Xenopus tropicalis: one gene and its partner. The protein of the gene in region 1 purifies or fractionates together with the protein of each later gene. This does not show direct contact. Links are inferred from orthologs where the notes say so. Each region holds a gene or a part of one and is shown on either strand. Other genes may lie near its edges.

Region 1 (7,354 bases):
CTTTTAGTATGTTATGGAATAGCCTATTCTTTTCATTCTTTATGGTTTTTTTAATTATTTGTTTTCCTCTTCAGCCTCTTCTTTAGCTTTCCAAACGGGGTCACTGCCCCCGGCAGTCAATAAACTATTGCTCTGTGAGGCTACAATTCTATTGTTATTTTTATTGTTTAACTTTCTATTCAGCCCCTTTCCTATTCATATTCCAGTCTATCTTTCAAACCACTGCCTGGTTGCTAGGTTAAATTGGACCATAGCAACCAAATAGCTGCTGTAATTCCTCACTGAAGCGCTGCTGAACAAAAATCTAATTAATTCAAAAACTGCAAATAAAAAATGAAGACCAATTCAAACCTTTCAGTTTTATCTATCTTTCCCCCTCTTCTCTCTCTTTATCTTTCATTCCTTGTTTGATGTATAGGATCTACATACCATAATAACTCTGCGCCAGGGGAATCCCTAATGGATGCCGTTGCTGTAACACTGTTTTGTAAAGATCGGTCCTTCTCCCCACAAACAGAATGTACAAAAGTGAGCGGATCTGCCACATAAACATTGAGTCTGGTCCCATACGGGGCAGGATTCCCGCTGCTATTGCCAAAGTGTAAGTGCAATGGGGTTAGTAACAGAGAAACAGGTGTAAATAAGTGATTATATATTCTCTTTTGAAACTGAAGGCTCGCTGTATGGCTTGATACTGGATCCCTGCTCCTATACACTGACCCCTTCCCCATGATAATCCTTTGCCTTAGGATCCTTCTACCAACATGAAACCCTAAACCTGCCACTTGCTGAAAGGCCGACTCCATCTGCTCCAGTTACACTTGTGCCCGTGCAGCCAATCTGCCCTTAATCACAAAAGCCACAGAGCAGGAGATTTGAACCAGTACCTATGCATTGTGGGTAGCACTATGAAATGCTGCAGTGCAGTTAGAGCACCATTATCAGGTTAGGAGCCATTGGACTTGGGGTGCCACTGACCAGAGAACCAGCAAAAGTCACACTCGAGGGACCAGGGACTTTACCCTGTAGCCAGTGGCCGGCTTTACTCCCCATAGCCACTACATACTGGGGATGTCGGAAGGCTAATATGTGAGTGTGTACGGCCGGCTTTACTCCCCATAGCCACTACATACTGGGGATGTCGGAAGGCTAATATGTGAGTGTACGGCCGGCTTTACTCCCCATAGCCACTACATACTGGGGATGTCGGAAGGCTAATATGTGAGTGTGTACGGCCGGCTTTACTCCCCATAGCCACTACATACTGGGGATGTCGGAAGGCTAATATGTGAGTGTGTACGGCCGGCTTTACTCCCATAGCCACTACATACTGGGGATGTCGGAAGGCTAATATGTGAGTGTGTACGGCCGGCTTTACTCCCCATAGCCACTACATACTGGGGATGTCGGAAGGCTAATATGTGAGTGTGTACGGCCGGCTTTAACTCCCCATAGCCACTACATACTGGGGTCGGAAGGCTAATAGTGAGGTACGGCCGGCTTTACCCCATAGCCACTAATACTGGGATGTCGGAGGCTAATAGTGAGGGTACGGCCGGCTTTACTCCCCATAGCCACTACATACTGGGGATGTCGGAAGGCTTAATATGTGAGGGTACGGGCCGGCTTTACTCCCCATAGCCACTACATACTGGGGATGTCGGAAGGCTAATATGTGAGGGTACGGCCGGCTTTACTCCCCCATAGGCCACTACATACTGGGGATGTCGGAAGGCTAATATGTGAGGGTACGGCCGGCTTTACTCCCCATAGCCACTACATACTGGGGATGTCGGAAGGCTAATATGTGAGGGTACGGCCGGCTTTACTCCCCATAGCCACTACATACTGGGGATGTCGGAAGGCTAATATGTGAGTGTGTACGGCCGGCTTTACTCCCCATAGCCACTACATACTGGGGATGTCGGAAGGCTAATATGTGAGTGTGTACGGCCGGCTTTACTCCCCATAGCCACTACATACTGGGGATGTCGGAAGGCTAATATGTGAGTGTGTACGGCCGGCTTTACTCCCCATAGCCACTACATACTGGGGATGTCGGAAGGCTAATATGTGAGTGTGTACGGCCGGCTTTACTCCCCATAGCCACTACATACTGGGGATGTCGGAAGGCTAATATGTGAGTGTGTACGGCCGGCTTTACTCCCCATAGCCACTACATACTGGGGATGTCGGAAGGCTAATATGTGAGGGTACGGCCGGCTTTACTCCCCATAGCCACTACATACTGGGATGTCGGAAGGCTTAATATGTGAGTGTGTACGCGCCGGCTTTACTCCCCATAGCCACTACATACTGGGGATGTCGGAAGGCTAATATGTGAGTGTACGGCCGGCTTTACTCCCCATAGCCACTACATACTGGGGGATGTCGGAGGCTAATATGTGAGGGTACGGCGGCTTTACTCCCCATAGCACTACTACTGGGATGTCGGAAGGCTAATATGTGAGGGTACGGCCGGCTTTACTCCCCATAGCCACTACATACTGGGGATGTCGGAAGGCTAATATGTGAGGGTACGGCCGGCTTTACTCCCCATAGCCACTACATACTGGGGATGTCGGAAGGCTAATATGTGAGTGTGTACGGCCGGCTTTACTCCCCATAGCCCACTACATACTGGGGATGTCGGAAGGCTAATATGTGAGGGTAACGGCCGGCTCCCCATAGCCACTACATACTGGGGATGTCGGCAAGGCTAATTTGTGAGTGTGTACAGGCCGGCTTTACTCCCCCATAGCCACTACATACTGGGGATGTCGGAAGAGCTAATATGTGAGTGTGTACGGCGGCTTTACTCCCCATAGCCACTACATACTGGGGATGTCGGAAGGCTAATATGTAGGGTCGGCCGGCTTTACTCCCCATAGCCACTACATACTGGGGATGTCGGAAGGCTAATATGTGAGTGTGTACGGCCGGCTTTACTCCCCATAGCCACTACATACTGGGATGTCGGAAGGCTAATATGTGAGGGTACGGCCGGCTTTACTCCCCATAGCCACTACATACTGGGGAGAGCCCCGCAGCTAAGGAGTTCCTACCCAGGGAAATATACTCTGCTATGAGTTTTAACTACCAGGGCTTAATAAAATAATACAAAAAAAAAAAAAAAAAAAGATATATATACACACACACACACACACACAGCAGTTTGTATGAGAAAGTTGCACTTTGGGAAACCAAGCGCTCCCAGCCCCCCCCCCCCCCGCCCATACTCCCCCCCTGCCATACTCCCCCCCCCCTGCCATACTCCCCCCCCCTGCCATACTCCCCCCCCCCTGCCAACTCCCCCCCCCCCCCTGCCATACTCCCCCCAGTGCCCAGGAAGATGCCCCCTTAGCCAAACACAATCTGCCTCTCAGTCAGGGCACCAATCACTGGAACCTGCTGCCTTCCTGCCACTGTTCCCTCTAAGCTGTGCGCGTGTGCGCGCGCACACGACTTTCCGAACCCGCGCACACAAATTAAAATAGCGCGCACAAAAATTTAATTTTTGTAACTTGATTTAGACAAACTGAAAGACCTGCGCAAAAATGCCCATAACTGAACTCCAACAAACATTCTGTAGCGCACAAAAATTTAATCTTGCTTTAAAATGCGCACGGATGATATTTTTTGCGCACACAGCCTATAAAAAATTAGAGGGAACGTTGCTTCCTGCCCCTCACGGATTCCTTCTTTCCTTCCCCCTCTGAGCCCGCACCCACACACTGTACCCCGGTTTCCTCTCACCCTGCCCCGGTAGCCCCAGTAGCCCCGGTAGCCCTGCCCCATCCCCCCTGCCCTACTAACCCGGTTCCCGCTCACCACATGCCGCGGTCCCGCCGCCTCTCTCTCCGCATTCGCTACTCTCTTCTCTCCCAGTCACGCAACAGCTGGGGCGGTCACCATAGCAACGCCGCTCAAGCCGTTTAAACCATAGCTCGCAGGAAGTGACGGTTACAGACATGTGACTAAGGAGTAGGCGGGGAAAAGGCGCTCGTCTCCCTATCACGTGACCAGAAGCGGCGCTGCCTGTCCCACGGAATGGTATGAGTAGGAATGAGGGGAATCTGAGCGCTCTTGTGGGAAAGGGGGGCTAGAGGTAAGGGAGTGCTAGAGGTAAGGGGGGGGGCTAGAGGTAAGGGGGGGCTAGAGGTAAGGGGGGGAGGGCTAGAGGTAAGGGGGGCTAGAGGTAAGGGGGGGCTAGAGGTAAGGGGGGAGGCTAGAGGTAAGGGGGGGCTAGAGGTAAGGGGGGGAGGGCTAGAGGTAAGGGGGGGCTAGAGGTAAGGGGGGGCTAGAGGTAAGGGGGGGGAGGGCTAGAGGTAAGGGGGGGCTAGAGGTAAGGGGGGGAGGGCTAGAGGTAAGGGGGGGCTAGAGGTAAGGGGGGGGGCTAGAGGTAAGGGGGAGTGCTAGAGGTAAGGGAGGGCTAGAGGTAAGGGAGTGCTAGAGGTAAGGGGGGGCTACAGGTAAGGGGGGGAGGGCTAGAGGTAAGGGGGGCTAGAGGTAAGGGCTAGAGGTAAGGGGGGGGGCTAGAGGTAAGGGGGGGCTAGAGGTAAGGGGGAGGGCTAGAGGTAAGGGGGGGGCTAGAGGTAAGGGAGGGCTAGAGGTAAGGGAGGGCTAGAGGTAAGGGAGGGCTAGAGGTAAGGGGGGGCTAGAGGTAAGGGAGGGCTAGTGGTAAGGGGTGAGTGCTAGAGGTAAAGGGGGGCTAGAGGTAAGGGGGCACTAGAGGTAAGGGGGCACTAGAGGTAAGGGGGGGCTAGAGGTAAGGTGGGAGGGCTAGAGGTAAGGGGGGCTAGAGGTAAGGGGGAGGGCTAGAGGTAAGGGGGAGGGCTAGAGGTAAGGGGGGGGCTAGAGGTAAGGAGGGCTAGAGGTAAGGGGGAGGGCTAGAGGTAAGGGGGGGCTAGAGGTAAGGGGGAGGGCTAGAGGTAAGGGGAGGGCTAGAGGTAAGGGGGAGGGCTAGAGGTAAGGGGGAGGGCTAGAGGTAAGGGGGAGGGCTAGAGGTAAGGGGGGGCTAGAGGTAAGGGGGGGCTAGAGGTAAGGGAGGGCTAGTGGTAAGGGGTGAGTGCTAGAGGTAAAGGGGGGCTAGAGGTAAGGGGGCAACTAGAGGTAAGGGGGGCTAGAGGTAAGGGAGGGCTAGTGGTAAGGGGTGAGTGCTAGAGGTAAAGGGGGGCTAGAGGTAAGGGGCACTAGAGGTAAGGGGGGCTAGAGGTAAGGGGGGAGGGCTAGAGGTAAGGGGGGGCTAAGAGGTAAGGGGGGGCTAGAGGTAAGGGAGGGCTAGTGGTAAGGGGTGAGTGCTAGAGGTAAAGGGGGGCTAGAGGTAAGGGGGCACTAGAGGTAAGGGGGCACTAGAGGTAAGGGGGGGCTAGAGGTAAAGGGGGGCTAGAGGTAAGGGGGGAGTGCTAGAGGTAAGGGAGGGGCTAGAGGTAAGGGGGAGGGCTAGAGGTAGGGGGGAGGGCTAGAGGTAAGGGGGGAGGGCTAGAGGTAAGGGGGGGGGGCGCTAGAGGTAAGGGGGGAGTGCTAGAGGTAAGGGGGGGGCTAGAGGTAAGGGGGGAGTGCTAGAGGTAAGGGGGGAGTGCTAGAGGTAAGGGGGGAGTGCTAGAGGTAAGGGGGGGTCTAGAGGTAAGGGAGGGCTAGAGGTAAGGGGGGCACTAGAGGTAAGGGGGGAGTGCTAGAAGTAAGGGGGGAGTGCTAGAGGTAAGGGGGGCTAGAGGTAAGGGGGGAGTGCTAGAGGTAAGGGAGGGGCTAGAGGTAAGGGAGGGCTAGAGGTAAGGGAGGGGCTAGAGGTAAGGGGGGGGCTAGAGGTAAGGGAGGGGCTAGAGGTAAGGGAGGGCTAGAGGTAAGGGGGGAGTGCTAGAGGTAAGGGAGGGCTAGAGGTAAGGAGGGCTAGAGGTAAGGGGGGAGTGCTAGAAGTAAGGGGGGAGTGCTAGAGGTAAGGGGGGCTAGAGGTAAGGGGGGAGTGCTAGAGGTAAGGGGGAGTGCTAGAGGTAAGGGAGGGGCTAGAGGTAAGGGAGGGGCTAGAGTAAGGGAGGGGCTAGAGGTAAGGGAGGGGCTAGAGGTAAGGGAGGGCTAGAGGTAAGGGAGGGCTAGAGGTAAGGGGGGAGTGCTAGAAGTAAGGGGGGAGTGCTAGAAGTAAGGGGGGAGTGCTAGAGGTAAGGGGGGGGCTAGAGGTAAGGGGGGGGCTAGAGGTAAGGGGGGGGCTAGAGGTAAGGGAGGGGCTAGAGGTAAGGGAGGGCTAGAGGTAAGGGGGGCTAGAGGTAAGGGGGGGCTAGAGGTAAGGGAGGGCTAGTGGTAAGGGGTGAGTGCTAGAGGTAAAGGGGGGCTAGAGGTAAGGGGGGCTAGAGGTAAGGGGGAGTGCTAGAGGTAAGGGGGGAGTGCTAGAGGTAAGGGAGGGCTAGAGGTAAGGGAGGGGCTAGAGGTAAGGAGGGGCTAGAGGTAAGGGGGGGCTAGAGGTAAGGGAGGGCTAGAGGTAAGGGGGAGGCTAGAAGTAAGGGGGCGAGTGCTAGAAGTAAGGGGGGGAGTGCTAGAAGTAAGGGGGGAGTGCTAGAGGTAAGGGGGGGGGCTAGAGGTAAGGGGGGGGCTAGAGGTAAGGGGGGGGCTAGAGGTAAGGGAGGGCTAGAGGTAAGGGAGGGGCTAGAGGTAAGGGGGGGCTAGAGGTAAGGGGGGGCTAGAGGTAAGGGGGGCTAGAGGTAAGGGAGGGCTAGTGGTAAGGGGGAGTGCTAGAGGTAAAGGGGGGCTAGAGGCTAGAGGTAAGGGGGCTAGAGGTAAGGGGGGAGTGCTAGAGGTAAGGGGAGGGGCTAGAGGTAAGGAGGGGCTAGAGGTAAGGGAGGGCTAGAGGTAAGGGGGGAGGGCTAGAGGTAAGGGAGGGGCTAGAGGTAAGGGGGGAGGGCTAGAGGTAAGGGAGGGCTAGAGGTAAGGGGGGAGGGCTAGAGGTAAGGGAGGGCTAGAGGTAAGGGGGGAGTGCTAGAGGTAAGGGAGGGCTAGAGGTAAGGGGAAACATTTGTGAAAAGTGGGGCGCTGTGTTCATAAATAGGCCTGATAGTAACTTGCAGGCAGCTGTTCAATTGGTTTATATCTCTCTGTTACTAAGATTGCTATTGGGAGCAGTGTCTGTGCTGTTCCCCTGTCTCCCATAGGGGCCATTCACACAATACTCCCCACAGTGTACTGTAAAGGCCTCAATCTGCCATTTTTTATTTTTTGCCCAATGCGCTGGGCATCATGGGAACAGCGGCCGCTCTCTCTCTCCATTGTGAAGCACAGAGCCCTGTTGAGCTGTCACCCCCTCTACATTTTTTGGAGAGTTACTTGAATTTAGCTTCTCTACTGTTGCCCCTCATCCAATACCATT
Region 2 (7,231 bases), on another chromosome or scaffold:
ATTTTGTGGGCAATGTTATTAAGGCAAGCTTTGCATCATGGCAAGATTTTATGTGCCAGAATGGGGGACCTGATGCACTAGCTACACAAATAGTTGGTGAGGAGGGAGGGGGAAGTGAGTGCTGAATAGAAAGTGAGAGGCTGAGAAGGCAAAAGATGAGGGATTTTTAAATGCCTTAATAATGTGTATGGATATATTGATACAAAAAATAAATTTGAGTTTCATGTTTACTTTGAAAAGGACTTTTAATATACTTTTTTTTATGTCTGGGTGACAGGTCCCCTTTAAAGTTGTCCGGCAGCCAGAGGGAAGGGGTTGCTTCTCTCCATCACCAGTTCTACTTTCTAAGCCCCCACTCATTACATTTTAGGTCTTGGCAGTTCTCGGATTTGACACTTGCTGAATTAACTTACAAGCTTATTCTCAGCCACAACCACAGCAGCTCTGAAAGACACACCAACTGTGCCAGTAGCACAATAATTCAGTATCAAACTGCTAATATCACACATATCTATAACTGGTTTCATTCAGTTATCTGTGGGACCACCACCCATGGTTAGTTAATAGTGAGGGTACCATGCTATAGAATACAAGAAAAAAAACACAGCACAGATCAAACAAAAGTTGACACTATGGGTGCACAGCCTTTCTCATGATTGATTGTGACCCACAGCAACTTACTGGCACGGCTCTAGAGCAAAATGCAGGTATTTTGCACATTCTAATTCAATTGCAGAGTGATTTACTCATTTAAATGAATAATTCAGTTAAACATACAATATACAAGAAGTTCCGTCAAATTTCAGAGGTGCTGCTATAAAGTGCCATAGACAACAACTTCCAACTCCAAAGTGGGGGGAGAACATGTTCAGAAGGAAAACAGGAAACTATTCTGATGTTTCTGTTCTCAGAAATACATAGGAAAGAACATCTGAGGTTTGTAATCTCCTGCCCGAGTATAGCAACATCAGAACATATCACTTTTTCCTTCTGAACATATTGTAATTAACTGTACAGTTAGAATAACTGACCAACAGGTGGCGATGTTACAAAATTCTTATTACTTTGTGCAATTTCACATTCATTTATTTTTAAGGGTTACATTTCCTTTAAGATATGCTGCATATTCAATATTTAAATGTTGACTTACTGCTGTCATAGATTTATATGAAAGGCATTCCCTTCTTTAAATAGACATGAAGGTATAACCCACTGTGTGTTCTAAAAATCCGTCAATGCATATTTACAATGATACGTATGGGAGACAGCTGCAAAATTGTATGAGACATACAACGCCCACACCCACAAGAGAGTATGCTAGTTACTATATGCTTGAAATGAGCCAACTCAGCCTCACTCATAGCTACTGCAAATGCTGCAAATATTTTAGGCAGCAAAAGAATAAGTTGTGCACAAACCAATCACAGCGCAAACATTTACTGGTTACATATAGTGAAACCATGCAACTGGCTGGATACTAAACTAAATATTATTAAAGTTTATTGCTCATAATGTAACAAAATATGCCTTGTGTGATGCTGTATATACAGAAACTAAAGCTCTAAGGGCTCTGGCACACGGGGAGATTAGTCGCCCGCGACAAATCTCCCGTGTCTCGGGCGACTAATCTCCCCCAAATGCCATCCCACCAGCGAAAATGTAAATCGCCGGTGGGATGGCACACGCGGCGGCGCGATTTCAGTGAGATGGTGCAAGTTTCCTCTCGAGGCAACTTGCGCGATCTCACTGAAATCGTGCCGCCGCGTGTGCCATCCCACCGGCGACTTACACTTTAGCCGGAGGGATGGCAGGTGATGGCAACTCTGGGAGATTAGTCGACTGAGACACGGGAGATTTGTCACGGGCGACTAATCTCCCCGTGTGCCAGAGCCCTAAGGGTGAAGACACATGGAGCTACTAGTAGCAGCTACTTGTCCTGGCTACAAAAATAGACAATGCTGATCATTTATTGATAATTGTCTCTACCCGTGTTTTAGCAGAGGCAATTCTCAGTATTGTCTTTGGCAGGGTGTTTTCTGGCGTTTAGTAGCTGTGAAAAAGTAGCTGCTACTAAGTAGCTAAGTGTGTCTTCACCCTAAATGAGATTTCATTTCAGCTTTGCTGTCGGATGAATAAAAGGTGAAGGTAAACCCAAGATATAATGAAATTCTAAGCAGCTTTTACAATGGTTTTAAAGTTATTTGCAAATATTAATGCAGCTAGTAACCCTGGCAGACGAGTGTTCATGGCTTCCCTGTGTATGATTAGAAGTCAGAACCGGCAATGCATATAATATCAGGGGACAAACGATGTACAGCTTTCAATGACAATGGCTGGAAATCATTATTGAATCTATAGTGGAAAGCGCTAAGAATGACATTTATTATTAGGTTCGCATGTGGGGCTATAGAGAAAAGAGATACTGACGGTTCTGATGGCGGCCAGGGTGTTCTCAGGAGCATCGTGCCCCCCGCCTCTATGGGCTACTGTAGCCGCCCTCCCTTTAGGTTTCAGCACCTGCAGGGCCCGGGATTGGGGCACCGGCTCGAACCTACAGAAAACCAGCAGCAGATAGATACCGCCCGTAACCAGGGACGTGAGAAGCGGGTTCCGAGTCAGCAGCAGCAGCACAAGGAAAATGCTACTGAATGAAGCCAAGAGGCCATCACCCCACAGCATGGCGGGGGCAGATAAAAGCATACGGAGCCCAGAGACACGAAACCGGTCGCTCCAAACATACACCGGGTGTATTGACGTTGCAAGAACTACAACTCCCAGCGTCCCTCTGCCTGTGCCGCCTGCTTGGGGACGATGGAAGATGTAGTTCCGAATACCCAGCGCCGAATCCCACCAATAGCCACGCCCAGCAACCCGGAACTGTCTTGTTAGAATTCCGCCCTTAAACGCAAGTCCCTCCCACAAGTAAAAATGGGGCGTGTATCTGCCGGCCGTTGCCAGGCGCTGTAGTTGCCGCCGGAGACCTCAAAATATGGCGGGGTGGAGGCGGGTTCTGAACTGTCAGCAGCCCGGAGCCATCCCTGCATTGTTCTGCCACTGTTAACCAGCAGAAAGTGTGGAGTTGTTGGGCAGGGCGTCTGGGAGACACAATGTTTCTGTGAATGGCTTTTCATCTGTGTGGGTAAGAAATGGCTTTTTATCTTGTGTAACTGGCCATGTAGTTTATACATGGGTATCAAGTGAGGATGCTGGGACTTGCTACCATAATAATAAGGACGAATTTGGCGTGCCTTGTACTTTTCCCAGTACAGCGGGGGAATTTACTTTGAAAGTACAGAATTTAGATCTGCTGTGGGGCTGTAACACGTCCCTTTGGGTAAAGGAGCTCACCCTTTTATCATAGCTGTAATGTTCTTTCATGGCAATTGACTGGCTGTTGGGTATCTATCTATCTATCTATATCTATCATCTATCTATATATGTGTGTGTATTGGCATAGTGATGTCATCAGTTGTAATCAGTGCTTAGTAATGTAACTCATATGTATTATATGTATAATAAACAAAAAAATTCCCCCCACCTCAGATTTCCATGACTGTGCCTCTCGGTGGTCATGGGACTTCTTGGTCACTAATATTCATACATGTTACAATTGTGGGTGCATATGTATATGTAGGTTGACCTAAACCTGCGGGTCGGGCAGGCTTAGGTTGAGATTTGAGTGACCATAGTGGTTCTGGGATGGGTGCATGTCAGACTGGGGAAGAACATTCCTTCTTCCAAGGATTATCTTTCTTGGGACTAGAGGCGCACACAGAAGTAGTGTAAGGGCTGTGGCACATGGGGGCAACTAATCCCCCCGAAATGCCATCCCACCGGCTATAATGTTAATCGCCGGTTAAGGGTTGAGTATGGGCCCTAATTTGGCAACATTTCACATGTTAAGGTCGGGTGCGGGTTTAGTTTTTCCTGACCTGCACATCACTAATAAACAATAGCAATGGTGGTTTTCAGTCAAAGCATGTGCAAACTGCAGCATCATCTGTTGTTCCACTACATCTCTCAGTATGCCACAGTCATAGGCATAGGAAACCTTTAGTGTAACCACTACAACTGAACTAAAGCACCAGCATTCTATTCTAGATAATTTGATGAAGAGGGTAATATATTCCATAACAGTAGGTATGATGCTTCTACTGCCTAAACAAAACATCATATTTTGATGAAACCTGCAGTTAATATTTGCATTCCATATAAAGGCACGAGGCCGAAGGCAAAGTTGGGGGTACTTGTATTAAATAATACTTGTGTATTATTTATTATAATACACAATTTTCAGTAAGTCGTGTAACAGAAATCACTAAGCGATTATAACTGATGACATCACTAAGCACTGTTTGTAAGGATATAATTTACAGGACATGCATGCATATTATAAATATATGTGTGTATAAATAAATAAATAATAATATAGGGGAGTACTGCTACACCTATTGATTCAGGGGAATCTGTTGCTACTAGTACCTCCTGGCCAGGTGGTACAAGCAGACTTGTGCGTAATTGCTTTTGATTTGCAATGAAATGCAAGTACAGGTGCGTTAATTTTGATGAATTAGAAGCAAAGAGCTCATTACCCCTTTGCGACCGCAGTGAAATTCTGGGAAAAACAATATGGTGTGTGCACACTTGCAGAAATAAATGAGCCATATTATCTATTCTTCTTTTCTTTGATTTTGATCTTTCAAAATCTTTTTGTTTCTGTTTGTAAAAAAAATTAGCAATATTCCAAAACCTCTGTGTGCCCACCTTTACCCTTTATCCATTTATATTTTACTCCCTTAAATCCTTTTTTTTAATGGAAATATTGATGATTTATTGTTTCAAGCCTCATGATAAACCTTGTTTCTGGTTTGATGTGGAACTTTATCATTTAAATGTACCCTTTTGTAGTAACCCTGTTATTTTTCTTTCATTTGCAGAATAAGAAGAATATCTTTTTCTCCTGTACAAGCACATCATAACTTTCCATCTTCCAAAGAAACCCAGGTGTGTATGCCTAATGATTTGCTTATTCTACATTATTTCCTGTAGCTGCATCTTTTTATAACTATCTGTTCTGGGCTACTGGTCCATGTGCATTTTTCTGTTTAGTCTGGACCCAACTGAACCTGCATTATTTTAATTTTTTTGTATTTCTGCTGATATATTCTATAGTGCTTTACAGAAATCATTCATCAGTCCCATTATGTCATGCCCCAGTTACGCTAACCGTGTAAGGACCCTTTCATGTAAATACTAGGGATGCACCAATTCCAGGATTCTGTTTAGGATTTGGCTGAATCCCAGGACTGTTTCCAGGATTCAGCTGAACCAAATCCAACCCCCAAAAATCATATAATGGCTCTGGGCAACACAATGCAATTTTTTATTTATATTAAATGTGAATATTCAACTTACAGTTCAGAATTGGTGTAGTATTCAGTAATCTTTTTTGAAAGATTGAGTATTCAGCCAAAATAAATAAAAATTATGGATTCAGTGAATCTCTATTACATACAGTGAAGTCATTTTAATTAAGAACCTGCTGCCTATTTATGTTTTGGCATGCAGAAGGTAACTGGAGTTCCCAGAGTAAACTCTCACAAATAGGGAACATTCAATCCATGCAGATAGTACAAGTCTGGGGCCTATTATCAAGAATGCTCGGGACGTGGGGTTTTTCAAACAAGGGGTCTTTCCGTAATTTAGACATTAATTAAACCTAATAGGATTGTTTTGCTTCCAATAAAGATTAATTATATGTTAGCTGGGATCAAATACAATGTTCTGCTGTAATATTACGAGAGAAAGAAAATCATTTTAAAAAAAAGTTGATTATTTGATTATAATTGAGTCTGTGGGAGATGGCCTTCTGGATAACGCATTCCATGCCTGTACTCAGGTTGGAATTGAATCTACTGTAATAAGATTTATTTTGAACCCAAACGTAACCACCCCACAGGTAATCAGTGTAACATAGGTATGTATTTTGACATTTTCTGTTTTATAAATATATCCATTTGAGAGAAGAACTAATACTCATCCACCCTATAATTATAATTAATAGCACTCTAGCTGGGTTATTGACTTCCATTTTTCCAATCGGCTCCTGGTTAATGGTTGCTGTCAGGGATCCTAAAACAGAATATGACATATAACAGATTTATAAAAAATGTTAGAGTTTACCATTTGATGAGTACCCTTCTAAAAATCCCATAGGTATGAATAGAGAGTGGGAATTTTACTGTGGTGAAGTCTAATTTTAAACAACTTATGAAAAATCTGCCCCTTAATGTACAGAGCTGAAAGCTCCAAAGCTGAAGGTCAACCATTATTAAAATAAACAGATTTTGAATGTGTTCTTTAGTTCTTAATATAGTTCTAAAATTCACATGTCATAAAGTCACAGTCAGCATATTTAACTATTATTTCTTGATCCCAGAGATATTCATAGATAAAAACTGGCTTTTCTGGTCAGGTAAGCAACCATAGCACTCCTGGTGCTCATCAACAATATCATATGCAGGATTTGTGCCAGAAAATGTTCTGCTGTCATACCTATAACTCTTACACCATCACTTCTTTAACACTTAGGGCTGGTTTAATAACATAGTTCATAAATCTCGCTGTTGCCAGCCTGTTAATTGGCTTATCATAAGCTGACCGAATTGTTTTCATGTCTCAGAAAGGAAAGTTAGTACATCAGCTAATGCTCACAATAAATCTCTTCAACATCTGGACTGCTTTACATTGAATTCAAGCATCCATTTCTCCAAGGCTGTGTATTAGTCCCTATTGTAAAACATTAGGTTACTAGAAATCATGAAAGAGTTCCTTTACCGTATAAAGCCACAAGGCCTGACCCTAACCACATAGGTCATAGAATGCTGATGTGACTTATAATATCCTCATATTATCACCTCAGGGTACGCATAATTGTTTTTAATGTGCAAGTCTTACTGAGTCATGTGACACAAATGTAATCACTAAGCTTGCATTATAATTAATGATATCACTAAGTGTATAATTTACAAGGTATTCATTGATGTTCTGTATTATAAATATATATAAAATTGTAACATTGTGAATCAGAAATCCTTGCCTGTCAAATGCAGATGTAAGCCAGATATATAATGTATTTACAATAATAGTACAGGTATAGGACCTGTTATCCAGAATGCTCGGGACCAAGGGTATTCTGGATAAGGGGTCTTTGCGTAATGTGGATCTCCAT

The links. The genes of interacting proteins can lie anywhere in the genome.
Region 2: the proteins of kif24 (region 1) and ccp110 purify together in Homo sapiens (co-immunoprecipitation; 4 studies listed by BioGRID and IntAct, with this or other methods). This does not show direct contact. The link is inferred for Xenopus tropicalis from reciprocal best matches to the Homo sapiens genes KIF24 and CCP110.

What each region holds. Positions count from the first base shown.
Region 1 is NC_030677.2:211,303,315-211,310,668, forward strand, and holds the start of kif24 (kinesin-like protein KIF24), read right to left. Parts: upstream 3,942-7,354; 5' UTR 3,832-3,941; exon of another isoform or gene 3,817-3,831; intron 1-3,816. UniProt on the Homo sapiens protein: Microtubule-dependent motor protein that acts as a negative regulator of ciliogenesis by mediating recruitment of CCP110 to mother centriole in cycling cells, leading to restrict nucleation of cilia at centrioles.
Region 2 is NC_030685.2:31,808,692-31,815,922, forward strand, and holds the start of ccp110 (centriolar coiled-coil protein of 110 kDa), read left to right. Parts: upstream 1-2,909; 5' UTR 2,910-3,139; intron 3,140-4,937; 5' UTR 4,938-5,004; intron 5,005-7,231. Other genes in the region: gde1 (glycerophosphodiester phosphodiesterase 1), read right to left, coding at 2,428-2,700.